Linked DNA regions of Drosophila melanogaster. The protein of the gene in region 3 interacts with the protein of the main gene of each other region in a pairwise test. Each region holds a gene or a part of one and is shown on either strand. Other genes may lie near its edges.

The links.
Region 1: the proteins of Dr (region 3) and Hr38 interact in a two-hybrid assay, tested with the Drosophila melanogaster proteins (one large-scale study listed by BioGRID).
Region 2: the proteins of Dr (region 3) and CG32121 interact in a two-hybrid assay, tested with the Drosophila melanogaster proteins (one large-scale study listed by BioGRID).
Region 4: the proteins of Dr (region 3) and noc interact in a two-hybrid assay, tested with the Drosophila melanogaster proteins (one large-scale study listed by BioGRID).

Annotation. Positions count from the first base shown.
Region 1 is NT_033779.5:20,710,709-20,717,900, reverse strand, and holds the start of Hr38 (hormone receptor-like in 38), read left to right. Parts: upstream 1-3,312; 5' UTR 3,313-4,431; coding exon 4,432-4,864; intron 4,865-5,600; exon of another isoform or gene 5,601-6,699; intron 6,700-6,894; exon of another isoform or gene 6,895-7,192. UniProt on the Drosophila melanogaster protein: Binds to NGFI-B response elements. Plays an important role in late stages of epidermal metamorphosis.
Region 2 is NT_037436.4:13,414,741-13,425,243, forward strand, and holds CG32121 (uncharacterized protein), read right to left. Parts: upstream 7,597-10,503; 5' UTR 7,582-7,596; intron 5,386-7,581; 5' UTR 5,355-5,385; coding exon 5,241-5,354; intron 4,671-5,240; coding exon 4,347-4,670; intron 4,244-4,346; coding exon 3,189-4,243; intron 3,117-3,188; coding exon 2,663-3,116; 3' UTR 1,836-2,662; downstream 1-1,835. Other genes in the region: flr (flare), read left to right, coding at 1-980, 1,037-1,187, 1,255-1,364; CG33263 (uncharacterized protein), read right to left, coding at 8,745-9,428; CG14106 (uncharacterized protein), read right to left, coding at 9,839-10,503.
Region 3 is NT_033777.3:29,553,432-29,560,705, reverse strand, and holds the start of Dr (drop), read right to left. Parts: upstream 4,321-7,274; 5' UTR 4,071-4,320; coding exon 2,861-4,070; intron 1-2,860. UniProt on the Drosophila melanogaster protein: Plays a key role in the specification of proneural and promuscular cluster formation. Required for the specification of dorsal and lateral muscle progenitor cells. Regulates development of peripheral nervous system derived from lateral neuroblasts.
Region 4 is NT_033779.5:14,488,071-14,496,126, reverse strand, and holds noc (no ocelli), read right to left. Parts: upstream 5,269-8,056; 5' UTR 4,882-5,268; coding exon 4,792-4,881; intron 4,490-4,791; coding exon 2,966-4,489; 3' UTR 2,108-2,965; downstream 1-2,107. UniProt on the Drosophila melanogaster protein: May negatively regulate Notch-induced cell proliferation in the eye-head primordium. Required for development of the supraesophageal ganglion and ocelli.

The DNA.
Region 1 (7,192 bases), on a different chromosome or scaffold from region 3:
TTTTTGGGCAAGGCAAAAAGTGGGCATCGAAAGTGAAGTTTATAAAAAAGGGTTGGCGAATCCCAAAATGCAATTTATGCAAATGAGCCGAGAGGCGCCGTTGCAAATGCGGCAGCAATAGAAGAAGTAAAAAGGTAAGAAACAATGCAAAGTGCCGCATGCTAATTGAAATTTACAGGGGGGAGTTGGGGCGAATTTTCGTTTATTTTTTTCCGCAGCAAAATCAAAGCCTAAATAGCAATCAAAAAGAGCAAAAATTCCTTAAATTAAACTCACGAACTGGCGGGCGCAACGATGCGAAAATGATACATGCATTAAGGCCCAGCCAAGTTGACTTGGCCAAAACGAAGCGAATTTGGCTCGGCACATTTAGAATATCATCGCAGTGCAACTACTACGACCACAACAATAAATAATAGACAAAAGGCAGAGAGACAAAAGCAAGGAGTGCCGATTCCAAAGTCGACTTCGACGGAGACTGCGACTTTGGCTTGGCTTGGCTTGGCATGTCATGCTTAATACAGCCAATAAAACCGCCAGAGACAACAACAGCAACAATGGCAATCGAATCGCTTTGGAAGCAGCCCAAGAACAACAACCAAGGCACAGCAACAATATCGGCGATAGCAGCAACAACTAGGAGACTCCAACGCTAAGCTGTTTGCATGCACTTTTTGGGGCCACCAGCAGGTCAGCCAACAGCAGCAGCACCACTAGCCCCACTAGCACCACTGGAACCACCACCACCACCTCCACCTCTGCCACCACCATAATCGCCAAAGGAACAGCGACAGCACCATCGACAACAGCAAGAAAGCTGGCCGAAACAGTGGCTTAGAGTCCATATGATTTGGAGGCGGTTTCTAGAAAGCTTAATACGCCATGGAACTACTAAAACTCTGACCATTAACATCCACTAATGAGTAACGTGGATATTTCCATTTCTCATATTACAATGAAATGAATATAGAAATGCCACTAAAGCTGCTTTTAAGATTATAGATATAGATTATAACAAAAATAGATAAAGATCGGGAATAAACGGAGTAATAACTAGGAACACTACTCATTACCTCTAGTGGTAGTACCACATTATCCTAGAAACTACTTCTTTAATAGCCATGGAGAGGCATCATCCTTTTACGAGTGATCCACAGCCACTGTGCTGAATGCACATGGTGCCTGCCACAGACCAGTTCCACTTGCGTCGCTCCCAAATCCAACTACAATAATATATATGTACATGGGAAGCCACACCACAGAGCGGCACATTACAGCACACCGCACCCCGGAGCCACAATGGGCCGCAGTGTGAGCCGGACCCAGAGCCGCGAGACCCGGGCAAAAGCATTATGGGAAAAAATGTAGCCGAAAACGAAAGGAAGAGCCACTGCGCCCAGAAAGCCAAGTCGCTCGGCTCTGTCGCGGTCGACGCAGCAGTCGGCCGGCCGACTCAGCGATCTCACGTTTTGTCTGCGGCTTCCACATGGAGAGGCCCAAGTGCACAGCCCGCGATCTCCGGTTCGTACGCTAACAACAGTTAGAAAACGTGGCTTGGAACCTGTCTAAAAATAGCCACAGCGAATGCAGTCCAGCACACGAGCGGCCGACATGCCGACAAGCCGACAAGCCGAATGAAAACGAAACCTTAAACGCCAGAAGACGTCGCCGCCGCAAAGACGAGTCTGCGGATCCCGAAGATTTGGATTTGGGTTCGGGTGCCGAGCGCCAAGACTCTCACTCTCTGTGCAGTCGACGCTGGCAGCGCGGTCGACGCCGCGTCTTCGGGTTTACCGTTCTCTAGTCGTGTGTCGCCGATCTTGGGAGAGAAGATTTGTACTGGCTTTGCGTTATTATTGTTTTCCTCGTTGTTGTTTACGAGCTGCAAACGCCGGTGTCAATGGTAAAGTGCATTAATATTCCCGCTTTTCCGACGGCTCGCGGGGCGGGAAAATCGCTCGGATCGTGTTATTGCCAGTTATATCGGCCAAATGATTTGTGGCGCAGCTTATTTATATTTGGGGATGAGGAAAGAGTGATCTGGTTTATGAAGTGGCAGGATGGTATTTTGTTAAGTGGAAAAGCGAAATTGGCCTGGGATCTTGTGTGAAATCGATTTGTCTTAGCACTTGGAGTGAAATAGGGAATAAAAGCGGGTAACTGAGATAAATATAAAATCGTGATTTAAGTTGAAAGGAAAACCAGACTCATTTCTAGGCTAAAAGTCCGTTTTGCATATCAATTTCAATTTGAAATATTTATAGCATAATTATAAATTATATTATATAGCATAAATATAAACCAAATTCAAAAGTAGTAAATCACTATAAATAGAATATTGAATTCTTGCCATATGATACTTGTTATTCTTTTCGAAATTTCTATCTTCCTATTTAACATGATAGCTTTACTTTTCCACCCACGCTCACCATCATGGGATTGACTCACATAAACATATTCCTCGAAATCTGGTCCATTTTCCTTTGCTTTGAATACACCCACACACACGAGAGCAAGGAAGTCCTTTCCACCAAAACGACACCACAGAATGCCCACACAGACTTAGTACACTGAGAAGAATATGTAGTTTAAGACAAACAATAAAAAAACAAACAACATTAAAAACATGCTTTTTATAAATGCATTAGAGTACAGTCTACACATGGAAAAGAGATTGATATTTAAAGACAAGTGTGTAGATGATGTACAATGTGCATAAGGGAATATTCCTACAAATTGTACGTCCTTATATATCCTGAAATTAATAAACATGTTTCCTGTGTACGATAACTGAGAGAAACGGAAGTTTTGGCAGCAGGCGAGAAGTGGATACCCAGTGGGCGGTTGGAAAAGCGGAAAAGTGGGTGGCGGAGTGGTAAGCCGGAGCAGGTGAAACGGCACCAAGAGCCCCAATCAATCTCAGATGCGAGCAAAAGGGATGGCCAACGTCGGTTTTATGACGCACATAATTTCCGCTTCCGAACTGTCCCACTGGACTGCATTCGGAAAATCGGTCGCTGAAAATGGGTGGAGGGGATTTTCCGGCGCAGGCGCTCTGCCAACGACGTCATCGATTTTCCTCGCACGAGCTGCGCTCAGTTGTTGGCCCCAAATGACGTAATAGCCGGGCCGCAAAGGTAGGTCGTGTCCCGCTCGCTTGCCGTCGCCCCTCCCTCTCCATCGCACACTCACTCTCGCTCTCACTCGCTCTCGCGAGCGCAGCACGGCGCCAGCTGAGGCAGCGCTGTCGACGCGACGCGTTGAATATAGTCGCGTGTAACCGTAAAGATAAGTTCAGTCGCGTCACAGACGCCGCATTGTTAACAACTTTAGCCCAAACAGCCACCGCTCACGGAAAAGCCAATACAAAATATAGAACTTATATCGAGGCGAGCTCGATGGTTCTGAATTTCCGATCTTAAGTCAGCCAACTAAGACTTTAATCCACACAACTATATAAACATCGCGTTCAGTATTAACGAAACACAAAGCCAACATAGGTGTGAGTGCTCAAGAGTTAAACAATTGCAACAAGTTGTTGTTCTTTATCGATTCGTGCATTCGTTCTATGCGGAAACGGAAGCCGGTCGACAGCGCGGCGTATGCGTAATAACTTCCAACGGTTGACAACGCGGCGTATACTTCACCTTTACCTTTCTTAAGCGAACAATGCATATATTTCGGTGGGCAACGCTGCGTATGTTTGTTTAATCTATCTTACCCCGCTGCGAATGTGCAGTAAATTAATCTATAGTAATTCAAATTTCGTTTCATTTCTGAGAGACAAGACACAGATATTTTTGAACTGAAAGTTTTGCTAACATTTTAACGAGCACGTGAGCTGAAGAACAGTAGTAATTGTTTTTGTGTTGCCCATTGCGCGCGTGTGTGTATCAGTGTGTAAAGTGTAAGCAACGTCCTTGTGCCTCCCACTACTGCAACTACCACAACCGAATATATATGTATATGTATATAGAGACCCCAGTTGATATAGTATAGCGTGCGTAAGTCGTTACGTCGCTTACATCGTCACTTGGCCACTGCGCAAACGCCGGAAAAAAGGAAAGGCAACAAGAAAAAAGCCAAAAAAAAAAGGAGGCAAGTTCAAGTCTAAGGACACACAACAAAAACAACAGCCGGGCAAGGACAGAAAAATGAAGCCCGATAATAACTACTGCAATCAGAGCTACTGCGACAAAAGCTTCGGCCACTCCTGCCGCAGCCAAGAAAATTGAGGCAAAATCCCAGCCCAACTCGGAACAGTCGTGCTGGATCACCAGCGCCGCTCGGGGCGCCAAACAGGTGCCTATTTAGAAACCATATAGTGTGTGATCTGTGTTGTCCCGTCCTGTGTGCGTTTTATGTTTGTGTCCCATCATCACCATCAACATCATTGTTAATTTTGGGTTCTTTAACGGAGAATCGTGGTCTATGATGCGCGATCGGCTTGCCTCGCTGATTGTGGTGAAGCAAGAGGGCGGCAGCAACACGAGCATTAGCCACCACCAGGCAACGGCCATTAAGTGCGAGGCCTCACTGTACACCGAGAGCAGTTTGTTCCAGGAGATCAACAACAACTCCTGCTACAGACAGAACCTCAATGCCCCGACACACCAGCAGTCACACACATCACACCTGCAACACGCACAGCAGCACCAAACACACCAGCAACATCCCCTCTTGCCGCCGCCTCTGCCGACTCTGCCTTTGATTTACCCCTGCCGCAACCTCTTTCCCGACGGTTGCGATATCAATCACCTGGCCTGCTGCAGTTCCTCCAACTCCAACTCCAACTGCAACTCAGACTCGAACTCCACCTCCAGCTCACCCGGCAACAGCCACTTTTTTGCCAATGGAAACACATGTATGTATTTGGTTTTCCCTTTCGGCTTATCGGTGTTGGTGACTTTTTCGTTTTTTGTTTTTTTGTATTTTCCAAACTCAAACGCCGCTGTGGTGTTTTCTTCTAATTCGCTAATAGCACACGCGGCGTATACGCAATGTGCAGCGCGCATTGCCAAATCGGCCAAGAAGCTAACTGTTTGCTCAATCCGTTTGAGAAGGCAGGTCGGGAAAAAATCTGAAAAATGCAACTTGAATAAAAAAGGGGGCGTGGCTGGTGGGGGTAGGTTGGACAACGCACAATGACGACATAAATTTGCATGAAAACTGCTCAAAATGCATCATAAAAATGGTGAAAATATTAAGCTTCCATTCGCAAAATACGAGAGCAACCACAGTAGAGGTCAAGAAAATGAGGCAGAGAACTTTAAAAATTCTTGGATTATGATTCAAAAATGATTTAACAATTAAAAAGTTTAAGCATTTGGAGTACTATTAAAGGCAGCTCTAAAAATGTTCGGTATAGTTTTTTTTTAAGCACATCAGAATTAGTTTCAAGCTATCATTTGCATTAAAAATTGTATGCTATGAAATTTAGTGCATTAATAAAATTAATTGTATAGTTACATCAGAATTAGTTTCAAGCTATCATTTGCATTAAAAATTGTATGCTATGAAATTTAGTGCATTTGCATAAAATTAATTGAGGCAACTATACCGAACTGTAAAGACGGGCTTAAATCAATTACCACCACTTTGACCTTAGTTGTGTGTGCAGACCCGTCTTGGCTCTCGGTGAGCATGTGCTGCTGTTTTTGGTGTCGTACACATGTTTACCAGCGTCAGCAAAGCGCCGCAGTTTCAGCAGACGGCAGCGGACGCAGCCTGACGCAAAATGATTTACAAGCTGCACAATAAACACCGCACACAGATGCAGTGCGTCCGATTTCCACACAGATACTCACTATCGACGGCTAGGGATGGCCAATGCATTTTTATTAATAACCGCATAAAAAAAACATCGCCGATTGAAGCTCAAGCATGGGAAAGATAGATCGATCATTTCATTGCCGAGTGGGTGGTTGGTTCGGTGGGTGGTGTTAGGGCGCCCGGCGGTGGGGCATCCGATTATTGGGCTTACTAAACGGCTTGAAAGGCTTTGCCAATTCATTCGCTGCGGCAAAGTCGGTTAGCCACTTGTTAGCCGCTTCTTAAGCGACTGTATTTTGCGGCTAACTTAGCGCCCATTAAGTGTTTCCCAGCAATCAGCTTTTAAGCACTCTGCGGTTAGCGTTTTCAACTGCAAGTGGGCCATGTGAGCCTTCAATTCACAGGAATCTACTATATGCACATTCTAAATTGATTTAATTGTCAATATTACAGAATGATTATCATGCGCTACATATGGATAGGTATCCTTTCGATAGTCTTCGGATAGGTTTTTTGAAACAACTACCCAAGTAGAAAATTAGTTTCTATGGTGAAATGCAGTTAAACACTAAACCGAGGGTTGCCAATCGATTGCAGAAGTGAAAATGCAGGGCGAAATGCACTAGACTCAGTTGACTATTAGACGTGGCAAAACAAACATCTATATTTATAAGTTGGCTATATAGTACCATAATGGCGATGGGCGCCAAAAGTGCCCGACATCGGATGACAAACCAGAGCAAAACAAATCGCCGAAGAACATATGACCAGGTGAGGTGCATCCACTAGTTGTGGTATATAGTATTTAAGCCATGACGCCAGCGGGGCCATGAAATCGGCCAGTTTAACGGATTAGGCGGCACACAGTTTTCACATTACGGGTGTTTTCCCGAGGCACGAGTGCTGAAAACGTCATCGTCGCGCCGAAAACGAAAATATATGACGAAACCGTGAAAAGATTGCACTCTCTTTGCGTCAGCTGCATCCCTAAATGTGTATCTATTTATATATATATATATATATCTCATAATTGGTTCGATTTTATTTTCATTATATTTATGGCTGGCCACGTGCTGATGACGTCTTATTTCGGGGATGAGTTGGCTGTATGCCTGCAGTATTATCACAAGTCAGCGTATTTCTTATTCCTACGACTAGTCACATTTCGATTTTGTTTTTAGTTGTGTTTTTGTTCGATGCTCACGGCGGGGCGTGTGAAAACACTGTTGCTTTTACTCTTTTCTTTCCGATTTGCCTTGATTGCTCATACGCCCCGTTCAACATGGCAACATCTCTTGGGCGTAGCCAATTGCATTTCAACATGGCCCAAAGCGACCCGGCAAAAGGTCCGCCCGAGCCGCACATATATAGACGTTCGATGCACTTGGCCAGGGATCGAGATGATCGCGGCTTCCCTTAC
Region 2 (10,503 bases), on a different chromosome or scaffold from region 3:
GCTTCGTCCAGGCTGTGCGCTACTCGCCCGATGGCAAATTCTTCGCCTCCGCCGGCTTTGATGGCAAAGTCTTTCTGTACGATGGCACCAGCTCTGAACTGGTGGGCGAATTTGGATCTCCTGCCCACAAGGGCGGCGTTTACGCATTGGCCTGGAAACCAGACAGCACCCAACTGCTAACCTGCTCCGGCGACAAGACGTGCCGCCTTTGGACAGTGGAGTCGCGCGAGCTGGTTAGCGAGTTTGTGATGGGCACCACTGTGGACGACCAGCAGGTGTCCTGCTTGTGGCAAGGAGACAACCTAATCACCGTCTCGCTTTCGGGCGTGATCACCTACCTCAATGTGGCGGATCCCTCGAAACCGCTGCGTGTGGTGAAGGGCCACAATAAGCCCATCACCGTGCTGGGACTGAGCGATGACCGCAGCACCATATACACGGGTAGCCACGATGGCGTGGTGACCAACTGGAACTCGGGCAGCGGCACCAACGATCGCATCACGGGCACTGGACACGGAAACCAGATCAACGGCATTGCCGCCTGGGGTGACTTTGTCTATACCTGTGGCATCGACGACAGCCTACGCCAGTTCAGCGTGGAGGGCAACTCCTACACGGACTATGTGGTGAAGCTTAACTGCCAGCCACGTGGCTTGGCCATTTTGCGCAACGAGAACATCATTGCACTTGCTTGCATCAAAGAGTTGACTCTCGTGCAGGACCAGAAGAAGATCTTTTCGCTGCCCATTAAGTACGAGGCTAGCTCGATTGCCGTTAATGCGGACACTTCCGATGTTGCTGTCGGCGGGGATGACCAAAAGTTGCACATCTACACCCTGAAGGGCGGAGTATTGGAGCCCAAAGTGGAGCTGGATCACTTGGGAGCTGTCACGGATGTTTCTTATTCGCCGGACTTGAAGTATTTGGTGGCTTGCGATGCCCATCGCAAGGTGGTGCTCTACTCAGTGGAGGAGTACAAGGTATTAAGGAATCATAAATGTCTTAATTCCATTACTAATCGAGTGTATTTTAAAAGCCTGCACACAACAAGGAGTGGGGCTTCCACAGTGCTCGCGTAAATACGGTGGCCTGGTCGCCCAACTCGCTGCTGGTTGCTAGTGGATCATTGGACACTACTATCATTATCTGGTCCGTGGCCAATCCGGCCAAACATACTATCATCAAGAGTAAGTATTTCAAAAAGAGTAGTAAGCTTTAAGCGATATCTGACATATTGTTTTCTGCCCACTCCAGATGCCCATCCGCAGTCGCAAATCACTCGGTTGGTCTGGCTGGACAATAACACTGTGATCTCCACCGGACAGGACTGCAACACCAAGGTGTGGCACGTGGAAAACATTTAAATGCGCCGGCCGTGAAGCATATTTTTATACTTATCCAGGGAGAGCAGCCAGCAGCGCCCTGGCTTCATTTCATTTAAGTGCAACAGTTTACATTTAGATATTTATGTCTTTTTCCCCGCCCTCCCCGCACACCTCATGTCATGTCTTTAATTTTAAGCCAAAAGTGTTTGCTAATCATCATATCATGGATATTCAACTACTTTGCCCCACTATCATTTTCGTATGTGTTTTTCGAACAATTTTTATACTACTGGAACTACGAACTACGAAAGGAAACACAAAGATATGTAAAGTACGCCAGCGTACATAAATTATTGTATTATGAAATGAAATATACTAGTTTTTGCATAGCTCGCCGATTACTTTTCTCCATTTGGTTGCGATCGGGAAAATTAGCTAAACACGCACAATTTCTTTGGCTTCTTAAACATTTATTCCTTTGAAAATTGTGTTTTTTTTTTTTTTTGGTTTGGTAGGTCTTCACCCTGTCTTTTTGTGTGCAAGTGTGTGTGCGTGTTCAGGTGTATAATTACAATATTTATAAAAACTTGGCTTAGATTACTAGAATGTGTGGACGTGTGCTTGTGAGAGAGCGTGAAAGCGAAAGGATTGTGTTTGTAACTTGCAGTTTGAGAGCCTCGGAGGTTGCTAAAGTTTCAGAAAAAATAAACGTAAATTGTGCTAAACGTAAGTACATAAATTAAGATAGCTAGAAAGGCGCTCGAGTGCAGAAGACGAAAAACGAATTGCGCTAATTATCACAGCCGGGTCTAAGACGTTGGTTTCGGTGGGACTAAAAGTTGACATATTCATATGTTGGGCACCTCATGAGTGGGTGATGAAAATTGGCTCCTCTGACATTGTTAAAAAATCCGATCATACTTAGTGGTAAAATAATGGGGCTAGATGTCAAAAAATAACGAAGAGCGTAATCTTTCTTACAAAAATCAAAGTTTGAACTTGAGATATTTTAAATATACTTTCAATACAAAAAAACATTTTGAATATGCAAATTTAAATGGTTTTGCAAGTGTTTTCAAAATGATATTATTAAGCTTGATTACGCTTGCTGATTAAATATTTTTGAAATTGGATTCGAAGTTCGGAAACATTGAAATTGAAATAGATTCCACCACCCTTGAGCGGATTTACAATTGGAGTCAGGGATCAGCCCTTTCCTTCCACCACTCATCGGTCACCCAACAATATGCGTGTGCATGGGTGGGCGTACTCCTTGTGTCTGTGTGCGTGTTTGTGTGGTGAGTTGAACAAATCAAAAATATTCAAAAAAATTATCCTCAGGTGGTTGACGCCGATGCCTCTACACCGGTCGCCTCTCCGTTGCTCGCCGTCGGTGGCTCCCGCTCACTTTTGATGCTCGGTGGCGCTTCGTGTGCCAAGTCTAGCGATGGTTGACCAGAAGCTGGCGAGGATTCGGCCACTGCTACGGCTGCTGCAGCAGCAGCCATCTGAAATTGATTGGGCAGGAAAAGGTACGGATTCCTTGCCTCCTGACCCGAACATCCAAGTGTGGTCGCTGGAGCTGGACCCACATCGCCACTGGTGACCGTGTGACTGGCGCTCATGGACATGGGCGTGGAAGTGGGCACAGTGGTCGCTGCTAGCTTGGAGACCCTCTTCCGGCGAGCCTCGTTTTCACATGGCGATGGCGCCCCAGGATGTCGGTAGCTAACGTGCTTGCGCAGGGCATCCTTGCTGCGGGACACATGGGAGCAGACATTGCAGGCATACCTGATGGAATCGAAAAGTAATTCCAAAGGTGACTTCTATTGTTTTATAACAATTAAAATTCAGACCACTTACCGAACATTCTGATGGGTTTCGAGGTGGACGCGCAGGTTGTATTGGTTGCTCAGCTGCTTGTGGCAGATGAAACAGGTGGCATAGAGCTTCGAGTTGGACGGCGGCTTGATGGGAGCGGTGGCCAGCGACTTGTCGCGGTCGGCGCTCAGCGAGAGCAGATTGGGCTCCGACTTGGCGCTGACCAGCGCCATTCCGCCGGCGGCCGCTGCCGCTGCTGCTGCCGCCTCCCGCTGATACTGTTCGATGTGGAGCTGCAGCTTGGCATGATCCTCGGCCGAGATGTAGGGCGATGGCCCGGGTTGCGGGTGGTGGTGCATCTGCGCCGCCTGCTGGGCGGCAGTCGGCGTGACTGCTGCACTATAAAGTGGTGGCTTGCTACTATAGAGTTGACCTTGGCCGAGAGCGCTGGGGTAACTAGCCGAGGAGCACTTGACCACCGGCAACTGAGGGGAGAAGTGTGCCATGGTCGGGGGAGCGAGAGTTACTGGTGAAGTGGCCACAATGGGATTCGGGTTGGAGCATTCCTGAGGCGACTTGCTACTGCTACTGTTGGTCGTCGATGAGGATTTTGGATTCTTTAAAAGGCTTTTTTCCAGTCGCCTAAGCTCCTTCGGCGGACTGTCGCCCTTTAGCCTCTTGGAGCCAAAACAGTCCGTCTCCAGTTGATCCTCCTGCATCCCGCTCTGGTAGAGCTGACATTGCTGCTGATACTTGGCCAACAGCTCAGTGGTCTTGTTGAGCGCCGTCTGCGAGAAGTTGAGTGGTTGGGGCAGCAGACTGGGGTAGAACTGCAGTGATTTAAAGAGATTCTCCAGGGGCGTGGTGCCCATTCCACTGGAGTTCACCGATCCCAGTTTGTTGGCCAGGAGAGGGGTGTTAAGTGCTGCACTTGGTAGCTGGGGCAGGGGGAGTGAATGGCTTGGGGTAGGCGTGTGGGAGGGCGTAAGGGTGGGGGTGGGCGTGGGCGAGGGTGTGGTGGGACGTTCAAACTCAGAGGACTTCTCATTCGTCGTATCCATGTAGGAGCCACCTCCACTTCTCGCTGTTTTTGGTAACTGCTTGGATTTATGAGACCAAAGAGAAAGGCGTATGAGTTTCAGGGAAAAACTACAAGTTTATTTAAATTATCTAACTAGATCTTGCACTTGAGCTACTCACATTGTTGTTCTGGACATCGGCCAGTCCCTTGATGCCCAGTGTCTCGGCCAGGTTGAGCAGCATCGGTATCTGCTCCTCGTATACATTCACCTCTCCGGAGTACATGAAGGTGAGCAGTGAGACGATGGCGCCGAAGCTGGCCCCTGGTATGATGATGACTGGATGGTTACTGGCCTCTAGAGCCCGGAAGATGTCCATAAAAAAGCTGCTGCAGGCACTCAGTACCACGCGATGGGCCCTCAGTTGGCGTCCCTCGGCCGAAATGGTCACATCCGTCAGATGGGATTGGTCCAGCAGAATGGGCAGAGTGCTCAGCAAACTTGTCTGGAAGGGATCAGAGGGAATGGGGTTGGGGATGTGAAAAGTGCTCATAAGTGGGTCACACGATCATAAAAATACAATTTCCTGGGCCCCATGATGCTCCTCTGTCTGCGGTGTAACAGGGGACAGGGGTTGGCTGCAGCTGCTTTCCAACTTTTCGATTTACTCGCTGTGGAAATTCTTTGGATTTTGGCAATTGCACGAATCTGTTCATTTATGTGACACACACACTGAACACTCCTCCTCACTACTCTTTGTCCATTTGGCTGTTTTGCTATTTTGGACAGCCAGTTTCACCGCTGCCCCGCTTTCACCGCATTACACCCTTTGGGCCGAAACACAAAAATTGTCACTATATGAAAATGCGGAAAACTATGTGTGAATCTGTACGTATAGGGGAATGTGTTTGGATAGATGGATCCTATATATAGATGCGGCGACATTTTACTTTCGGCCTGCTCGCTTCACTGAACGATGTCCAGTCCATTCTAATGGATCTTACTTATGAGGTAATGTTGAATATAGTCCCCCCACAAATGAAAATTCAAATGAATTTTATCTGGAGGATCTCACCTGATGGTTATGCCATCGCAGGCAGAATTGCTGTTGGCTGTCATTGTGCTGCAGCTGCTGATCAAAATGATGATGCTGCGGTTGTCTGGCATTAGTGCTATTTACATGTTCCATAATTCATTTGGGTTTGGATCACATGGACCAGCTGCAATGGAAGTAAGGGGGTAAATGCAATTAGTGAATGTGCAAGATGTCGGATGTCGGAGAGGTAAACAAATTCTATTCGCCTTGCCCCAGCCCACTTGGCTTCTTTGTTTTCGTTTCTCATAATTTGTTTGTTTGCATTTCGGTTTGTTTATTTATTGAACGTTTTGTCACACACACTTTTCGTGTCCGCTCTTCTTGGCCGCCTAGAAGAGCGTCTGCACCACGAGGCGTATACGTATTATGTCGTAGCAGTTGGCTTATTACTCATACGCCCCGTTATGCGCAATCTTGCGGGTCGCGGAGGTTGTTTGTCATTGGGGACCGGGAAACGGCATAATTTGATTTAATGACAGCCTGATCCATCTTTAGATTGCTGCCAGCTCCTCCAAGGTATCCGGATTGTCGAGTACTCCTCTATGTTTTGATGACCAAGTCAACGGGCTGATTTACTCGGCCGTTTCGGTGAGTGCCCAGTTGACGAATCGGAATTACAATAAAACAGCACACACACAGACGCACAGACACGGCCAGTGTTATTTGTGTTCTTTGCTGGCAATTAAACCAAATTTATTTAAATAAAATAAGTTTTCCTTGGCTGGCCTGGCCTGGGCGATCTGATCGCAGTGCCACTGTGGGTTTCTGGGTACACTATAAATTTGGCAATTTCCATTGTTCGGATCGCATGTGATGCACTGGGCGGGCGGGCGGTTCACACTTTTGTCCGAGGGCTATTTATAAGAAGCTAGTCCAAGGAAGCTGGGGTGGGTATGTCGGTATGTGGGGGATTTTGGGGATTTCTCGGTCTATGCTGCTGCTGCTGCTGCTGCACCGACGACCATTGGAGGCCCCCCAAAAACAGGCAGCCCGGCCAATGCAAATCCGCAGCGAAGTGACAAGTCCGAGTCTTTTGGTTTTCTTTGCACTTTAGCTAGCCCAGCGTGCAATTGTTGGACGACGGAATTTTCTTCATTCCATTATGTGTGCACATGGGACTGAGAATCGCATCTAAGCATTTCTCTATTGAGAGACGATGGATGGTGGAGGTTGCCTTGCCATGCCATGCCTGATGGGGTACAATGGATGCCTGGCTATGGGATTGGAGGGATGGGGATTGGGGTGGATGGCGACTCGAGATGGAGGGTCGGAGGAGGAGCGGCGCGGCCTTTTTGGCGCTCGTTCACACAAGAAAGTGTTGTCGTGACAGTCAGGCAGCCTTCTTTTCCGTAACTCTTTGGTATTTCGCTCAGTTTTTACTTGATTTTCCGAAATTAGTTTTTCAGCCTTTCAGCTCGGCACCTCCTTCTCCTGTACCGTCCTCTGGCTGTTGTTTTAAATAGCCATCCAAAAAATAAAGATCTGTGCTAAACGCTCTCGCCATGCTGTCTATTTTGATTTGTTGTCCAAGTGCCTGCCTTTTGTCATCCATGGCAATTCATTCCAAAGCACCTCGCAATCGTTTTCATTTCGATTTGGATTTGGCTTTGCCTTTAGCTTTGGTTCATTTCGAAGCTATTTCGTTGATGCGTAATATTTTACACATAATCACTCATACGCCTCGTTGAGAATGTCGAGGGAAGTGGATAGAAAATGAAATCATGCTTAAGCCTTCGCTGCGTTGCCTTTGTTATTGTTGTTTAACTTTCATTTGTTCCATGAAATGTGGCGCACATAAATTTGATGTCAACGCTGTTTTTTTCCGAGAGGTATTTGAATTTCAATATAGAATTCGCACGATCAGCGGTATATGTGAATCACGCATAATCCAGTGGCCCAGCATATCTGCCCCTGGGGAAGTCTAATAATAGAGCTCTATGGCTAACCCTTATGGTTGAGGATCTCGAATTGACTTCTTTTATGCTAATGGGATGCTCGTGGCGATCATCAAATTGAATATTTTCCCTCAACTCATGTTATTTTATGTAGTGTTTTTATGACACGCAGTTTGTTTTTTATCTATCTTTCACATTGAAGATCTCCTTTTGTGCTCGCAGCGACATTACACAATTTACTTGAATAATTTAATCACTCGGTTCTATGTTTATCACTGGGTTCTCGTTAAACGAATCCTTCACATTTTTGTTTTATTTATTTTTCTCTTTTTCTAGCTTTTCACACATATTTTGCTAATGCCATTTTCCCCGCGTCCGTTACGAATTTTCCCTTTCGCGATTTTCGCGACGGGACAAGCGTGCACCTTTGTTAACCGTTTGCTGCTCGCATCTGAAATGAAAAAATCCGAAAATGTTTCAATTCTTTCGGTTTAGTTGGAGATTTTCTATTTTTCGAATGTCCATCTCTTGACAATTTTCCTCTATCTTGTGTTGCTGTTGTTGGTGTTGTAGCTGCTGCTGTTGCTTGTTGGTGTTGCTGTTGGCCCAAATGTTGTTGCTGCTGCTGTTGCCATTTGTTTAGCGGATTCGAATTTGGCTCTCAGCATGTCGGGCGGATCCGTTTGTCGCCCGATTCCATGTTCTTTAATTAATGAGCAGGCCGCATCGGCGCAGCGAAGAGAAATCTCAGCGGTTTTGTACTCGCGATCAGTGTGAAGCCTCTTGGCCAAAAATTAATTGGCTGCCCCGCAGTTAGTTAATCAAAACATTTGCCAGTGGCAAATCATCATGAGGGCATCATCATCATCATCATCATAATCAGGAACTGCGACCACTCCGCCACTAGACACAATTGACACGACTGGCCGACAGGCGGAGGAATTTGTTGGTGCAGCGGCGGCTGCTACTGTTGCGGGATCGTGTGCATTATTAATTTGCAATAAAATGTGGAAGCGGCGACAGCAGTTGCCGCCGTTTGAAAATTGCCCGCCGAAAATAAATTCATATACCTGCGCGTTGGATTTGTGAATTATGCCTGACAAATACAAATGGAACCGCCAGATGGAGACGCCGTTGGTCATCGGGCACCCAGCACCTTCATTATGCACTTTTCAATTCATTAAAATGCCACAAATACTTATTTATTATTGTCATCTGTGCGCACCTCGATTTGGGTTAGCAGCCGCGTAGCTTGGAGGCTGTAAATAGCTCAATGTGTATATAAGCCCTTCACTCAAGGATAATTCCTTACATAAAACGTACGTTAAATGTCAAAGTACCACTAACAACTATCTAGTTGACTGACAATGCAAATGCACACGTGATTGCTATGTACACTCTAAGAAAGAAAAATAAAGTGCATACAGGAAATTATTCATTTATTTTTGATTATGATCAAAGTTAAAGCCTCATCTTAAGAACATATAAATAAATGTATAAAAGTTAATAAAATGATTTGAAATCAACCTACAGATCGCCTAATCTAATCTAATTTATTTAGATCAAAGTTGAGCTTCTAAAGATAAATCTAGTAGCTATAACTAAAGCACTGAGCCTCGCTGCTAGGCTTGCATTGCTTTGTAGGAAAGTCCCAGCCATACTTGTAAGGACATCTCACAATGGTCAGATAGCCGCTGAGGCACCTGTAGTAGTACTCGCACCGCTGGGGATGAGGATGGTCACCATCTCCGGAAATGTCGCAGTGCGGCCTTTCCTGAGCTGGAGAGGAAGGCTTTGCAGATGGGGAGGATGGCGTAGCAGATGTAGTCGGTGGCTCAGTCACTGAAGGAATTGATTCTGTAGGGGTTGTTGTAGAATCAGCTTGGAAAGTAGAAGAGTCCGCAGATCCTGTAGAGGCGTAATCAGAAGGCGGTGTTGGAACGGGAGTGGTTTCTTCGATCCCGCTCTGCTCCTCACCAGTAGTTTGCTTATCGGGCTGCTCCTCAGTCTGGACTGAGTCTGAGTTCCTTAGACACACACCCTCATCATCAAAGGCACACTCTTGGGTTCGATCGTCAAAGTAGGTGGACTCGGGGCAGCTGTCTCGGAAGGAGTCTTCTCCATTGCAATAGATGTATGAAGCGCAATCTTCGATGGCCATGACAAAGGTATCCAATGGAGCATTTGCGCACTGCGGGAAAACTTCGGCTTCAATTGAAGTGAGATATCCTGCCAGGATCAGCAGACAATGCAAAGATAGTTTAAATGACATGGTGCTATTCAGTTGGTTCACTTTATTGATAGAGATGAGGTTTGGCGATCCCTATTTATGGCAATTTTCAAGCCTCATTGCGAAACTCTTATCGTTACACTTGTGGTTGATATCTTCCCAAATAACATGTTGCCAATTTTTATCTTTCTACCAATAAATATGTCAAGGGCGTCCAATGACTTAGTTGCTATGATAAAACAGTACCAAGGTAAATATTGTACTTTTAGACATTTATACTCTAGAAAAGAGTGGTACTTTTTACTATATTATTTACAATAAAATATTAGATAAATAAAATTATGCCTTGTATCACCTTTCCCAAAGATTTCACCTATCAACTTGAAGTGGGTTGAAAAACTCAAGAACCTTTAGAATTCTTTGCAAGCAATATTGAGAATAATTCGTTTTAGCTAAGCATTTATATTTGTTGGCAATTTTTGATAAGCGATTGTTCCAAATTGTGACTCTGGCTTCAAATACACATTCGTCAGTGATAGCCTGCTGAGATCGTAGTCCAACACATCCAATTGCTGCTCCAGTTGTCTCTTGAGATTCCGGACTCGCAATGTGCCCACGGTAAGTGGCAATCGGTTGTATTCCGCAATCAATTGATTTTGCCGCTTACGGACGGCATCCATTAGCACCATTCTCTGCTCACTGGTTAGCAGAATAGGTTGGGATTCCTCAGGTGAATCCGTTTGAGAATTCTCCGGTAGTTGGACTTCCGCTTCATTCCGCTGGACCTCTACAACTGGTAGCTCTGCACAGGACTCTTGCGAGTGTAAGCTTAGTATATCGTCTGGGTTAACATCCACCACCTCGGGAATGTCCATTTGGCGGACCCTTGGAGAACTTGCCTTGATGGATTGCGAGCAGATCGATGCCTCATCATCCTGTTTTCGGCTGGAAGAGACACAATTGTCCAGGTAATTTAAACCGCCGGGCAAAATGCCGAACGTGTTAGCTAACGGCCGGTGCATTGTGCATTGCCCCGGCTGATAGCCATCGCGTTGTTCCGGCATTTTGCCCAACTCAAAATTGGACGCAGTCCGTCGCAGTCGTAGCCTTTCGTCCA
Region 3 (7,274 bases):
GCAAATAAATTTTATTTACCAAAACATACATCAAAATGTCTGCGCCGCCACACGCCCCCTCGAAGGCACCACCCCCCCTCGCCAACGTTGCTGTGTTGCATGTGTGTATTTAGTACAGCGTATGCACGTTAGATGGCGTGCAGAATGCAAATATTATTTTAGCTTTTGACTCTTTCGGCTTGGAGCCTTGCAAATGGTGTTAAAACGCATGCAAACGGCCCCCTTAACCCCTCGCTGCCCACTTATCGACAGCACCGGGTCTTCCTTAACCCTCTTCTCGCTTTTCGCCAACCAGCAGCCGTCTGTCAACGTTTAAATTGCTGCCGTTGCTGTTGAAAATTGCGTGTTTTGGGTGGGCGTTGCTGACATGCCACACCCACCGTTTTGGCCAGGTTTTCTCGCCCTCTCTCTTTCGCTCTCTTGCCATAAAGCATAGTGTGCATGTGTGTGTGTGCCTGGCTCTATGTATTTATGCAATGACTCCCAAGTTGTTGCTCGTTTGTTCAGCTTGAAAATTAATTTCTATAATGGCTGCCAAGAATTGCAGCTGCAATGCGTGGTGGCTGAGTAACAGGGGCCGTCGAGGGGTTAAAGGGGGCAAAAATGGGTGGCATGTGCAGCATACGTGACTCGACTGCGCTTGCAATTAGTTAAATTATGAAGGCACAAAGGGAATTCCCCATATTGCAACACGAAGATGCTAATCAAATGGCAGGGCAAAAAACCATACAACTTCAAGCCGACTGACTATGTGTGTGTGTGTGTGTGTTCCCTCTAATCGATGGTAGCTTAATTTAATAGTCCATGAAGTAGCCGACAAACGGTAGCCAAAAGATACAACCTGTATCTACCAGTTAAGCATTTGCCGAAGGCACTAAGTACCTAACACTTGACATAATGCCGCAGAAGATAGCGGCGCAGGTCAGAAGGGAAACCCTCCGGAAAAACAGGGGATCATCAGTCCACAGAAGACAGCAACCTGCTGCGCTAATGAGACACGCTGAACACAGGAACCAGAAACTGAAACCGAGACTGAGGGCCAGAAAACAACACAAAATAAAAAAACAGCTGCCAAATGATACGAAACGAAACGAAATGAAATGAAATGAAGTTGTTCGACTGTATTTTATACACATGCAGCAGTTGACAGCCAAATGACAAAATAAGCGGCAAATGTTTGGAATAGTTTATTCATCTCGGCATCTTTATAGGGAAGGAACGAAAGATAGCTCAAGTGGTTGATGAAGGGCGGTGAATTGATGGCCCACATCGAGATTGATTTATATCGATTTGTTGAACAGTTCCCTTTTGAAATATTTTGGAATTTATGAAAGCACTTTTAGAGATGCAGTTCTGGAATTTCATGTATTAATAGTTTGAATGAGGCGGTAATATGGTAATACTCGAACTAACCTACTTTAAAGCCCAAATTTCCTAATACAACACCCCATTTGAAGCCCTTTTTTTCAAAACACAGCCGACAGCTTTATAAAACAATGCTTTGTAGTGGCAAGAAAAACCCGAGCATATGCAGCAAAAACAGGAACAATAGTTGCTGTTCTGCATATAAAAAGCAAATTTACACTTTTTTGCCCACCGTTTTTGCACCGCCCTTTCCGAGTTTTTCGAATGTGTTTGAGCAACTTTAAGGAGCGGAAACGCAGAGTTCGCGATGGCCGAGTAAAGTTCACATGTCAGTCCGGCATCAAAGTGTGACTTGTCGAGTGTTTTCCCCGATTTTCCACCAGTTTTTCCCTACGACCCGCGGTGCTTTTTGTCCAGGAAATGCAGGCAAAGTGTGAACTGTGCATGCAGATAGAGATCGCCCAGTTAAACAGCCAGACTCGCTTCAATTAGTCTGGCTGGTCGGTTAGACAGTCCGCTTTTTACGCGCTTATTATTAGATTTTCCAATTCGGGAACGGTAATGGGGGGCTGGCTGGCTGTCAGACCGGAAAACACCGAAAAACGCCGCTGGCCAGCGAGTGCAATGAATAATCAGACGTGGCCAATTGAGTCAAATCAGAACCGACGCGACTATCATCAGCCATCAGCCATCATCATCATCATCATCATCAAATAATGGGCCCAGCGCAATCAGGCAGTTTTCATTGTTTTATTTAAGGCCCCGCAATAATTGCCACGCACTTTGACTACAAACTGCAGTCACGATCACTTCCATTCCATAGCCATGATGACGATGACGACGAGGTGGCCATGATGGAGCACCCGCAGCTCGCGTCCGACCAGGAGCGGAGAGTCACCATCGATGCCAATTAAGGCGAGGGGCGGCAGTTAATTGAATTAAAATGCGACACAAAATGGTGTAGATAAAGTTGCCACCGCACATGGGGCATAAAACAATGAGGGGTGGGGTGGGTGGTTTGAAATTCCTCCATTAAATAAATCGTTTTTGAATACACATCGCTGGCTGCTAATGGGGAATTTGCTCCCAAGCGGAATTCGCGTATTTCTATTGTTCACGGGTTCAGAAGTTCATGTTTATGGGTTTACAGTTAATTATAAATAAATATATGAAATGTAACTATATATACACTCATATTTACTTTGATGTTAAGGCTCTAAATTGAAAATATTTTCGAAAGAGAGTTGAGGTTGTTTTTATTTTTTTTGAAGTAAACCTTTTGAGTTCTATATTCTCTCCTATATATATTTTTATTTTCCCATTATTTAATTATGCCCATGCTGAATCCTCCATTGCAAATGAGTTTAAAATATCGCTTAGGACAGGACAGTTAAGCACATGTAACAGATAAGGTTTATCATTTCCCCTCTAGGAAGTACAAAAACCGAAAACAAGCTGACAAAAACCCCACAAAGAACTGGATAACGACACTTACCTCCACCGAATCCTGCTCCCGGAAACATGCCAGGCGGTCCGAAGGGCGGCATTTGTCTGGTTCCTGGCCACGGAACTCCACCGCCCATTCCCGTCCAGGCCACCGCCGCGGCGGCCAGTGCACTGAAGGGGGTCGGGCGGATGGGCACATGACCGGAGGCCAGGGCCGCCGGGGAAAGTATCGTGGATTGCATGTGAGAGCCCGGCGGCGGACCGTGCGGCGATTCCAGCGACTTGCCGCTGCCGTCGAGGCCGTCGGGCGTGGAGCGCGGCGAGTCGTCGGCGTTCATGTCCTCGATATCCACAATGGAGTCCTCCTCCTCGTCGTGATCGGCCTCGTGGTCCTGCAGCATCTCCTCGTCGTACTCCAGCTCGGAGTCCGTGTGGCTGCCCAGCGGCGAATGGCGTTCATTTTTGGCGGGAGTGGAGGCCACATTGCCCTGCGATCCCAGTGCGGATCCCAGTGGCGTGGAGCTGGGCGTGGAACTCGTGGAGGCGGGTGGCGAGTTGGCCCGGGCGTCCGCCTGCTGCTGCTGTTGGCGCAGCTGGGCGGCCATCGCCTGGTGCTGGGCATGTGCCGCCGCAGCCGCGTGGGCGGCCTGCAGCAAGTGGGCGTGGTGCGCGACGGCGGCGGGATGGAAGGTGTTGGCGGGAACTTGGGCGGCCGCACTGGCCGGCGGAGGCGGCGGCGTGCTGCTGGCCTGGGAGATGGGCGAGGTGGCCGCCGAACTGGTCAGGTTCTGGGGTCCATCCGCCGCCTGGTTGGGTGGCGTTCTGGGCCTCGTGTCCGCCAGGAGAGAGGCCACACTAAAGTTGCTCAGTCGGGAGGTGGTCTTGTGCAGATGGTGGGCCGGCGGATGCACTGCGGCCAGCTGGAGCGCCGCCGCCTGCTGCTGCTGTTGCTGCTGCTGCTGGTGTTGCTGGTGCTGCTGCAGCAGATGCTGCTGATGGGCCAGCAGCAGTGCCGACGGCGAGGTGGGACTGGCCAGGGCATTCAGGCCAGCCGGGTGGCTAGGACTCAGGTTGGTCAGGTTGCTGCTGGTCATGTTGCCGCTGCTCATGTTGCTGCCGCTGTTGCTGCCGCTGTTGCTACTGCTGCTGGTGATGATGAGGTTACCCGCGGGAGTGTTACTGCTCGGCGGCACCGTGGGACTGGTCATCGTCTGGCGCAGACCTGTAACTGTCATGCTCGCTGGGCTGAGCTTTAACATAAAGCCTTTCGATCGTTTGTGTAACTGTGGCTCGTTAATACTGTGCTTTAGGTGCGCCGGTTAATTGGTTCATTGAGACATGGTCTGCTGTTAATTTGTTTTGATTATCTTTCAATTAATGCGCTCGTTCGTCACACGCTTGGGAAACACAGACACACACTGTCACACGCGGCGTTTTGTATCTTTTCAGGGGCTATTTATTTCCAGAGAGAGACACGTCCTCTTGAGATCACGTCTGTTCTGCGACTGAAACTGTGGTCGCAGTTTCGGATGCACCGCTGCCTGCCACACAGATACTCACTCACACCGACGCACTCGACGATTGGTGGTGGGAAACCGGCTGTGTAGAGCGTGCCTCTCTCTCACTCCCGTGGTGGAGTGCACCGCGTGCGACACCATTTTTATTGGTTTCGAGACTAGCTCGCTCGCTCTTTTTTTCCGGTGTGAGTCTTGTATTTCTCCACTTTTCTGACTTTTGTTCCGCCTTCTTTTCTCTTTCGCTCTCGCTTCAGTGTGGTGAGTTTGCCGCACTCTTGCCGTACAGACAGAGATGGTGTAGCTGCCCCGCAGTATAGCCGTCCCTGTCGCACGCCTAATTATTATTGAATAATTCAATCTTCAAAGCGTTTTTCCACTTTTTTTTCGAGCTGCTGCGCGTATTAGCATTTTATAACAAGCAGCGGCGGCAAACGCCTGTCCATTTCCACTTTGGTTTTCTGGCTTTTCCTTCCATCTCCATTTTCCCTCTATCTCCCTCTTTATCGTTTATGACTTCATTTGGCCAAATTGGCGTGATTTTTTAAGCTTTATGTACGCCTAATATGTACATATATATGTATGTATATATAGACCAGGCGGTTTTTCAATTTTAATTGGCACTCCTACATGTCCTTAGCGTACAAGAACAATATAATAAATAATAAGCCCATCATTATCAGGGCCCCAAAAGCATCAAATGTCGGGTGGAGCGGCATTATCGCAAAGCTGCAATCTCGGTCAGGAAATTATGTTTTTTCTTCCCTTTTGCTCCACCTCAGGAGATAAGCCATAAAAATCGGATCGGTCCACATAAATCGAACGTCCCGGGAACCCGGCCGAATCAATCACATACATATAAATGTGAAATATGCAGGATTATATAGAATTTTGCCAACCCCCATAAGCTCCATAAATTGCAAGGTTGGCGGGTGGAGTGAGGGAGGGAGCGGGAATACCGCACCCTTTATAATTCTCGCTCTACAAATTAAACTCATTTTAAGGATTATTATGTGAAATTGTTGGCTTGAAAACTTTTGCCAGCCATTGTTCAGCTGCTCCTTTGTTTTCCGCTGCTCGAAGGACCAAGTTGTGAAAATGGGAAATGGGCGTCGGATTGTGCGGGTTCGCTCGGCTTTTCGGGCGGCAAGTTGGTGAAAGGATTTTAATGACAATTGCCAGTGGGTGGAAAATAAAGAGCTCAATTAGAACAGTTGACGAATGGCTGTGTGGTTGCCTTAATTAGTTGCAAACGATGCTGAAAATGAAACGACTCTGCATGATTGGGGAAATTCTAGCCAATTAATTTGAGTTCTTGCCTAAATGGGTTGGGTGAAATTTAGAAATATTTTTATATAATTTCTGAACTTTTTTCAAACTCTTTCCGAAATCGTTTTTAATTACACTTAAAAGAAACCAAGACAGTAAACTCGTTTATGAACTTCTCACATTTCCCAGCCATTCAATTAACACTTGATATACCTCTTACCACTTTTCCAACGCCCCTCTTGACTGATTAAAATTTTTCCAACTTCCCAAAACTTGAGCTCTTCATTACGATGCCCGGCAATTCCGCTTTCTTTTCAATTAAACATTTCGAAATGGCGGCAAAATGCGATGAGAGGCCCCTCAGCTCGTTAATATCATTGTCTGCGTCTCGTTTTCTATACTTTGTGCCGTTGGCATAAACAATTATAGCCAATTACAAATATTAATTTCTCAGGCCAAGCACGTCGAGCGTTTCTTCTTTTATTTTCCACTACTTAACCACCATCATTATTCATTGCGCTTTGAAATACGCAAATGAGCGCCGAAAAAAAGCAATACAACAACGAGGCGCAAATTAATTTTTCAATAAACATCATAAGCGAGCTCCAGCCCCCTCCACTCCCCCCACCTATTCTCGATCCCACCACTTCGAGATGAAACGAAACCGGCAAAAGCAGCAGCAAGTCGGCCAATAACAAAAGCACCAACAAAGTCCACGCTTCGGCCAAGTTGGTCATTTGATAAATGGCCGCCGATTTGCGTGCGTGCAGTGATGACTGCGATAGATTTTAAAAACTAGCTAATAAAATATTAAAAAATATATTAAAAAAATATTCACCTTATGTGACTAGAAATGTGCAATTTATGTTTGCCCAATAAAGTTGTTATGTCTTGCAGTGAAACAACAAACAAGAAATATTATGTTCACTTTGAAATAACTTCAGAAATATGCTTTAGAACAGATTCTGTTAATTTTTGAAAACTTTTAACTGAAACATATTGAAAACTAGCTAGGTTTGGCTAATAAAAAGCCTGCTGCCCAACACTAAGTGCGTGGATCGAAAAGATCACGTCGTTTTCCTCACTTTCCTTCCCCGCAACGAGCGTATGTAAATGTTTTGATAGTTTTTCATAATTTTTCGAATTTATATATCCCGCCGACCGATTCCGATTCCAGTTTGATTGTAGAAGCTATGGCTGCGGAATGAGAGGTGGGGCTATTTGGACGTATATATGTAGTTGGCCATGATTGAGTGGGTGTGTGTGTTTGTGTGTGGGTGTTGCATATTTATGTGGGTTGCCGCTTTGCTTTGTGTGCCTTTTTTGTCAGGCAATTAAATGAGAATTTGGTGTTTTATTGTGCAATTAATTCCGAATTGAATTGCATAATTGTTTGTATCCGAGAGTGAGCAATTACCCAGTCGGCAAATTGTTTATTATACCAGCTGGAAACGAGAACAGCGCTAGATTCTGTTTTATTAATGGAATGATCAAATTTAATAGTTTCTTTTACTCGTATTCAAACTAAAGGCACTAAGTCATTAACATTTTAAGCACTCTTCTAATTAAATAACTCAGAAAGAGATACAGCTGCACAAACATCCTTTTCCAACGATAATTAGCAGCTCGCCGAATTTAATTCCGTTCCCCAATTTTCAAAGGACCTCCTAAACGACGCTA
Region 4 (8,056 bases), on a different chromosome or scaffold from region 3:
TATTTTAACACAAAAAGAAAGAAAAGCGACAAATTCTGCCATTTATAGTGTCGCAAACGTTACCTTCTACGTTTTAGCGAATCCAGCATAAGAATTAAACTTTTCAAGAAACAAGTGTTACCTCAACTCTTCTATTGAACTAAAAATAAAAATTAAAGTAAAAAATTGTTTTGACTTGGGCTCGTCCGGGATTTGAACCCGGGACCTCCCGCACCCTAAGCGGAAATCATACCCCTAGACCAACGAGCCAGTTGGACAACGGGGTCCAAGCCGCCAACTTCAGTCCATTGCAAGATCTCTTGGCGAGAAAACGATAGAGTTGGAGCTATTTGCTCCCCATTCAGAAACACACTATTTTTAACAAAAAGTTGCTGAGTTTGTTGTTGATTTGGTTTTTGTTTCGGTGTTCCGCTGCTTTTGCTGCCTTTCAAGTTGATTTTGCTTTTATGGCTGCCGTTCGGAGGCGCCGCGCGAGTGTTGACATCCAAAACAGATTGTTTAACATGGACAGCAGGGTAAAACAAAGAAATGCGTGGCATGTAAATAAATTAAATTTGGAACGACAGCAACAACAATCAAAACGCCCTACAAGCGCAGCTTTCAACGGAATCAAAACACGATTAAAAGTATCCAAAGTTCGGGGAAAACAGAGGAAGATATTAAATTTTCTATACTAAGCCTACTGAGGCGTTTCAATAAATGGTTTTTGCATACATGGTTTATTTTATTTGATTTCTGATTTCCTGCTCTTTTATTGCATTATTGTTTTGCTGAATATATAAAACATACCATTGGAGCACTCCCACTTCTTTGAAATGCTTTACAAAATTGAAATCCCTCAGCATTCTGAAATCAAGAACTCGCACTTCGCCACTTCATTTGACAACACTGATTGCTGAGTATTGATAAGTCTACCCCTTGGCAGCCCCGACCCTGCGGAATATCATATTCCCACATTTGTATTGGGGCCAAACGGCTGTGTTCGCAACGAATCAAAATCAAATCAGAAACAACATTCAAGTGGGTTGAAGGGGGAATGAAAACAGACATTGAAAGAATCCGCTGGAAATTGAAACAATTGAAAAAACGTTGTCGTTGATCGCTTGACAGTTGAATGCGATAATTTCAAATCGAATCAATTGAATATTGTCACAATTAATTTATTTATGAGATACACTCGAAATATCACCATTGATTTTCATTGTTGCTGTGGCTGATTGTTGCTTAAGTTTGAGTTGTCTGGTTGGTTTCAGATTTTGATATTTCTGAAGCATATTTTTTGTGAATAATGTTAGTCATTTCGCTTTGTCAGCGATTTTTTTATATGTACATACATACGTACATATGCACACATATTCATTTATATATGCATTTGAGTTGCTCATTGAATGGCAATTGATTTTTGTTATACACATTGTTGGTACAAATGTGATTTTTATTGATTTTTAATTTTCAGCTTGGGTGTTTTATGACTGTTGCCGGCGACTGTTTTATTAAGGCTTGCCCAATCAAGTTATTTACCCCACCCCTCGTGAAATTGAAATTTGCTTTTGATTTGATTTTTTAGGCTGAATACGAATCGCTGCATACAAATTGAGTGCGCTTAAAATGCAACAAGCAATGCAAATTAATAGTACTAATTTGAATTTCAAATGTGTTAGGTGAGATGGGGAAACCCAGATTTCTTCGAGTGCATCCAGAAAAAATTGAGAGCACATTAAAATACCTTTTGTCTAAAATAAAACTAATTAAAATATTTTTAAAGAATAACCTATAAGATTTTATTTATTTATTTGCCTAGAACCTTACATTTAATATCAATGATACTTATAAGAAGCAGTTCAATTCTCAGAATTAAAAACTCCTTTAGTCCCATTTCTAAGTAAGAACTATAAAATTAAGAGAATTAGACCTTGTTATGGTTTCCGGAATTTGCCACTCAGCCTTATGTAAATATAATTGAAAACCTAGTGGAGCATTATCAGCAATATTTATGACCCATATGTGAGCTAGCCAAACAGCGCAGATAACCGAAGCGAAATTATGGCCCAACAAAAAGTTTTCCAGCTGTAAAAGAGTTTGTTTCAAAAGAAAAGATTCGTGGTTTATGCTTCTAAAAATTGTTTTTTCTTGTATATTTCTCAGTTTTATACGAATGTGTTGCATGTAGTTTAAGTTATTTTTGTTTGATATTCCGTGGCTTCTTGTGTAGATCGTATTGTGGTTTGCGTACATCAAGGAGTAAATAGCAAATCTAGTTTATATTTATAGAATTTACACACAGTACATAATTATATGAAATATTCATTTTTATTTTTCGTAATTATTATTATTTTTTTTTAATTTTTTATCTCTGATTGGTTGGTATTACAAATATTCATTACACTTACTTTAAATATAAGTTGACTTAAAGAACATTATTTCAATTGTTGGTTTGTTGTATGCTTGCAGATAATCGTAATAATAGTTAATAGAACTTAAAGCGAAGTTAAACTAAAACAATGTTTGAACATCTCAGCAATGGGTTCTTCATTAACAAAATTGGAAGTTGTAGAATGTGTTCTGGCTAAGACTTAAAAAACTTTGGTTGAACTTTGAGAACAAATAAGAGTGAGTGAACTTCGTGTTGGCTGCACTTCTTTTTACCTAACAATGTAGACATTTACGATGATAGAAGAGAGTGATCCTGCTATTTTTGCGGCTACTACTGTTCTTTAGGTGGTTGATTATTTTCTGTTTGCGAAACTTAAGTGTAACTAGCGCTCTTTAAACTACAGTTTAGTATCACAGAATAGCGCAAAAGCCAGAGATGTGTCAGCCTTTGCAATCGTTTTGTGCTTTTATCTTTTTTGTTTTCCATGAAAGTATCTCAAACAGGGTTTGGAAATGGTTTCATTCTATATCTCTGGTTGTCTCTTCAACGTAATCCCCTTTTTTTTGGTATTTAACTCTTGTGGAAGTCACTTTACTGATGAGCCGCTCCCATCCTCTGGCCGTACATGGCGTATGGCGAGTAGTAGGGTCCCAGAGCAGCTGCCGCAGCCGCCGCGGCAGGATTGAATGCTCCAGCGGCGCCGAAGGGCGAAGGTCCTCCAGCCAAGGCGCCTGGTGGTGGCTTGGCGTATGGATGATACCTCGCCGCTGCCGCAGCCGCTGACATGGGACTCAGTGGTGGTGTTGGATAGCCAGCTCGGAGAGCCGATGGCGGAAATAGGGTTCCCAGCAGGGATTGAGCCTGCGATTGGGCCAAGGCCGCCGCAGCAGCCGCCGGATCGGAGAGATTGCCCGTATGGGTGCGCAGGTGGGAGAAGAGCTCGTCGGAGGTCTGGAATCGCTTGCCGCAGTAGGCATCGCCCACCACCCAACTGCACACGTAGGGTGCCGAACGGGCTGCCGCCGCGTTTGCCGCAGCAGCGGCCGCTGCCTGCGAGTATGGATGAGCTGGTGGCAGTCCGGCGGCACTGGCCATGGCCAGGCCGTATTTCTGATGCTCGCACTGGGTGCATCCGGCGGGGCAGGGGGCACCCATGAGCATTTGTTGCGTGTGCGCCGAGTAGGGACATCCCTGGCAATACGGATCCTTGCAGACTGGCACTATAGCCTCGCCGCCAGCTGGTGTCTTGATGCGCTGATAACTTATGTACGGATTGGGCTGTCCGGCTGGTCCACCGCCGGGAGCTCCGCCTGGATATCCTCCATTGGCGGCAACTGCCAACATGGCGGCGTGATGGTGTGAGAATCCTCCGGCAAACGGTGGCCGGAAAGCGGGATTGGCGTGCTGCTCCATTCCGGGCGGGCAGCACAGGGCGGACAGGGGATTCAGCCCATAGGGTCCGGCGGCCTTGTAAGCCGCTGCTGCTGCTGCTGCCGCCGCAGCCATGCTGCTCATTTCCTTGGGATGCTGGGCGGTTCCGTTGGCATTGTTCAGCACCTCCATGCCGGAGCGCACAATGGGACTGGCGCCGCGTTGCGACGATCCCGACGGGGAGACAGTCTTTCGGCTGGATGAGGAATCGTGCGCGGAAATCTCCGCCTTGCCGCCATCTGTGGGCGTGGCATTTGATTTGCTGCGCGATGGCACACGCTCCTGGGCGGATGAGGAGTTCTTAGAGCTGGGACGCGTGGGTTCCGCATCCAGCGAAGAGCTGCTCTTGAAGGAGTTCTGGTTCTGGTGGCTCAGCACATTGGTCTCGTAGGGCTTGAAGGCCAGTTTGATTTCACCGGTGCTGGTATTACTCAGACTTGCGCTGGTTGCCGTCGAGCTGATTGGAGTGCTCGACTTGGGCGATTTGGCCTGGCCGGAGGGTGACTTGGCTGCCGAGATCTCAGCACTGCCCGAGGAACTCGACGAGTTCGACGACGAGGAGCATGCTCCGGGCTTTGTCTTGTTCTTGTCCATTGCCAGCAGGGGTTTCACTGCCGACGAATCCGCTCCAATTTGGGAGCAAGTCTGTGCGAGCAGAGCCAAGGGACTCTTTTTGGCGTCCATCTGTTATGAATAAAATGAAAATGTGGAGTTGGAATTAGGTTTTTTGTAATTTTAAAGTTTTTTACGAGTTTTAAGATAATATTGATTTTAATTTGGTGAGAAGTTAAAACTATGAGAAAATGCAATTTCTTCCAAAGAAAGTTTGTTCGTGAAAGTATTAATGACGATATAAATTTTTAGATTTGAAAAATTGTTTGATGTTATGAACTTTCCAAATTTAATTCTTAAGTACGCAAAATTTAAAACCATAGATTTTACGGCCATCCCAAAATTTTACAGCTTTTAACTTAGTCAATACTAACCGTCGTTGGCAATGGGGCCAGATAATCCGGTTGAAGGTACTGGTTGTTACCGATGGTAACAACGCCGCCGCCTCCTTCCAAGACAACCATATCAGTTGCTTAGTGTGTTTTCTCGAGGGTAATCCACGTGAGTTGCGAGACAAGGCTACAAATGCGTAGCTTTGCTTCGGCGACGATGAGGTTAATCCACAGAAATGCGTCGGCAAACGTTGGTAAATCCAAAGAAAATCGGCGATTTAACACACTTGTAGTTTTGAGCAGAGAATTTATCTCTGTAGCACTATTTCAATTTGCTGGCCAAGCGATTTGTGTTTTGGCTCTGATTTCACTTTTTCACTCGAAACGAAACACTCTCGATCAGTGACCACAGTTGACTGAGGTTTCTTATTTTTGTTGGTTATATCTCTTGTCACTCGAATGGTTTTCAGGTTTTTCCGAACACGTCTGAACGCTGCGAAGTCAAAATTCGAATTGAATTCAACGACTGCGGCAGCGAGCGTAACTGCCCTCGCAGCGAAGCGTTCGCTCACTCGCGAGAGAGCGCTCTCCGGCGAGCAGCGCTGCACACTTTGGCTTGCTGCCTGCGTTAGAGGAGCACCGCCTGCTGCATGCGAGCGAGATGCACTGTGCGTAATTTTCAAATATGGCGTACTTTTTGTCCAATCACAATCGCATGCGCCTTGCAATGGAAGCCAAGACAGGTTTTCTCTCTCTCGCTCTCCGATTTGGCTTCCTGTAAAATCATAATAATATGGCTGCACCACGGCAACACTCGTCCAGAGAGCAACAGTTGAGCGCTGAGAGCGCCGCTCAGTGAGTTGTTGTTGTTGTGGCTGCTTTGGGGGGCACATTAATTTTATCTTGGCACATATGTCACGCTCACTCTCCCTCTCTGTGTCTCTCTGGGGGAACTTTTTCTTGATGGGGCTGTCAGCAGCAGCAGCGCTGCAGTGGTGGCGGCAGCGGCGCGGCAGAGGCCTCATTGTCTTCGCACCGAGATTTGTTGCTCGGAAAAGCAAACCACTCAACACTTAAACACACTCTTCAACCATTTCCATCGCCTCGCTTCGCTCGTTTTAATGTCATATAAAAATTAATTTGTTTGTCGCTCTCCCGCTCTGGCACTTCACCTCTCTCCCTCTGACCCGCTCACTCGCACAGCTGTTGTTGTGGCCTTTGTTTAGCGTTTTTCGATTAACTTCTGCGGTTGGTTTTCCCTCTTTTTTTTCGTGGCTCCTGTTTTGCTGTTTAAGTGGAAATCGTTGTTTTGTTGTCGCGTCGAAAAGTTTTTCCAAGCAATTTTTCCTCCTTCCTTGGTGTGTGTGTAATTAATCTGCACATATCAAACAAGCGAATGTGTGTTGTGGCATGTTGCACTCAGAGAGTTGGTAATAGTTTAATGGTTTGGTTAACTCCGCTGCATTTTTAATCGCTCTACAATTGGATTGAATTTTCCAGTTAGCACTTGCCTAACTTACTTATTTACGTTTCGCACGAAATCGCGTTAATCACGTTGCTTGGTTTCAAGATAATTACTGAATACTAATAATGTTTAATTGCAAAACGAGGCTGATTTATATTAAATTATTAAGAGCTAATAATAGGCTAGCTCCTTCTAAACATAATTGATTACTATTATTTAAGTAGTTAGAAAATATTATGTGACTAATCATTTAGATTTTGTTGATCTAGATCATTCTAGCCACTTTACCTAACCGATATTAAAACTCCAACGTAATCCCAACCAAATCGGTTGGACTAACCATAAACTATGTATCAAGATGTTTAACTCAAGCCCCGAGGGGATTTTGGAATATCTGGCCCTTGGGATATGTTACCTAATCACCAAGCTGAGTTTTAAGAACCCTTCAAAGCCCCTGGCAAGTAAATTAAAATCTGTATAAATATGGACGATAAGCCGAAAACCCAGAAGCGACACTTTTAATCCCGATTTAGAGTGTTTAGACATTTTTCTGTGGGAATCCCTAAGCCGAAACCCGGCAGCGAAATACCTTCGAGGCTAAAACAGGTAGAGGAAACACTCTCGGCCTTCGGCGAAATGATGGATTTATTAGTTAAGAGCGTGCTGCGATACTTTACGATACGGCTTAGACATAATTTGCGGTTTTGCGTGCAACAAAGCGAAAAAAGTGTTGCCAAAATAATGTATATACGTGTATATATGCATGTATACTGCTGCAGAGTTGGAGAGTTTACGCACACGTTCCATAGCATTTTCTCTTATTATTTGTTATTTTTTATGGCCACTTTGTCAGCGTCATAAATTCGCTGCTCCTGTATGTGAATTATTTACTAGCAAATTGCGGGAGTGGGCTGAAGGTAAATTCAAACCAGTGGCCGGGGGTGTCATATAAATAATACAAAAATATTATAAATTACACGAAGCCGAAGAAATTGCCAAGCGGAAGTGCGGAACACCTTGATACCGTGACTAAAGCGATTTGCTTTCAGACTAATGCTCACCCTGCAGCATTTCAGCGTTGATAACTTCATTTTATTCAAAAGGAGGTCGTGTAGCGAAGATTACAAATATAAAAAAAAGCGTAATTTAAATTACAAGGTACGCAGTTAAAGATGCAGCAGTTCTATTAGGTTAACAATAATAAGATCTGAAATAAAAAACTATATTGAGCTTCTAGTTATATAGTGCATCAGAGTCCTTTAAGACTAAAAATCTCGTTTTATGCAACTATAAGGAGTTTCGAATTCGAATACTCTCGATATCTTCGCCAAAGTTGTAAAGGAAAGCGCCGAGAGATATCCAAATGTAGTGGGAAAAATTTGTAGCCGCGAAAACATTTATATGGGGAATATAAAAAGGAAGTATACTGGATGCCACAACAACAACTACAACAACAAGAGCAAGAACAACAAGCGGCGGAATGGCAGAGGCAGCACATAAAATTAACCACATATTTCTTCATTTTTATGGCATTTATTATCACAGAAATGTTTGTGTGATAAAAGCGAAGCAGCGCAAAAGGCGAACGACGACGATGGCGGCGCAGTCATAAAAATGCAGCCATTTACCTTTTGATTTATGCACACCAGTGGGTGGCGGCGGGTGGTGGATGGTTTGCCTGCGGCAAGAGTGGGTGGCACGCATGCAGAGCAACTGGCGGGCGAAAGGAGCGAAAAATAATGCAATAAATTTGACATTATCTCCGGCAATATGAAGGTATATATATATCCGTGAAGTGGTTGCCACTGGTAAGGGAAAGTCGTTTAACTGTCTGCGGATTTT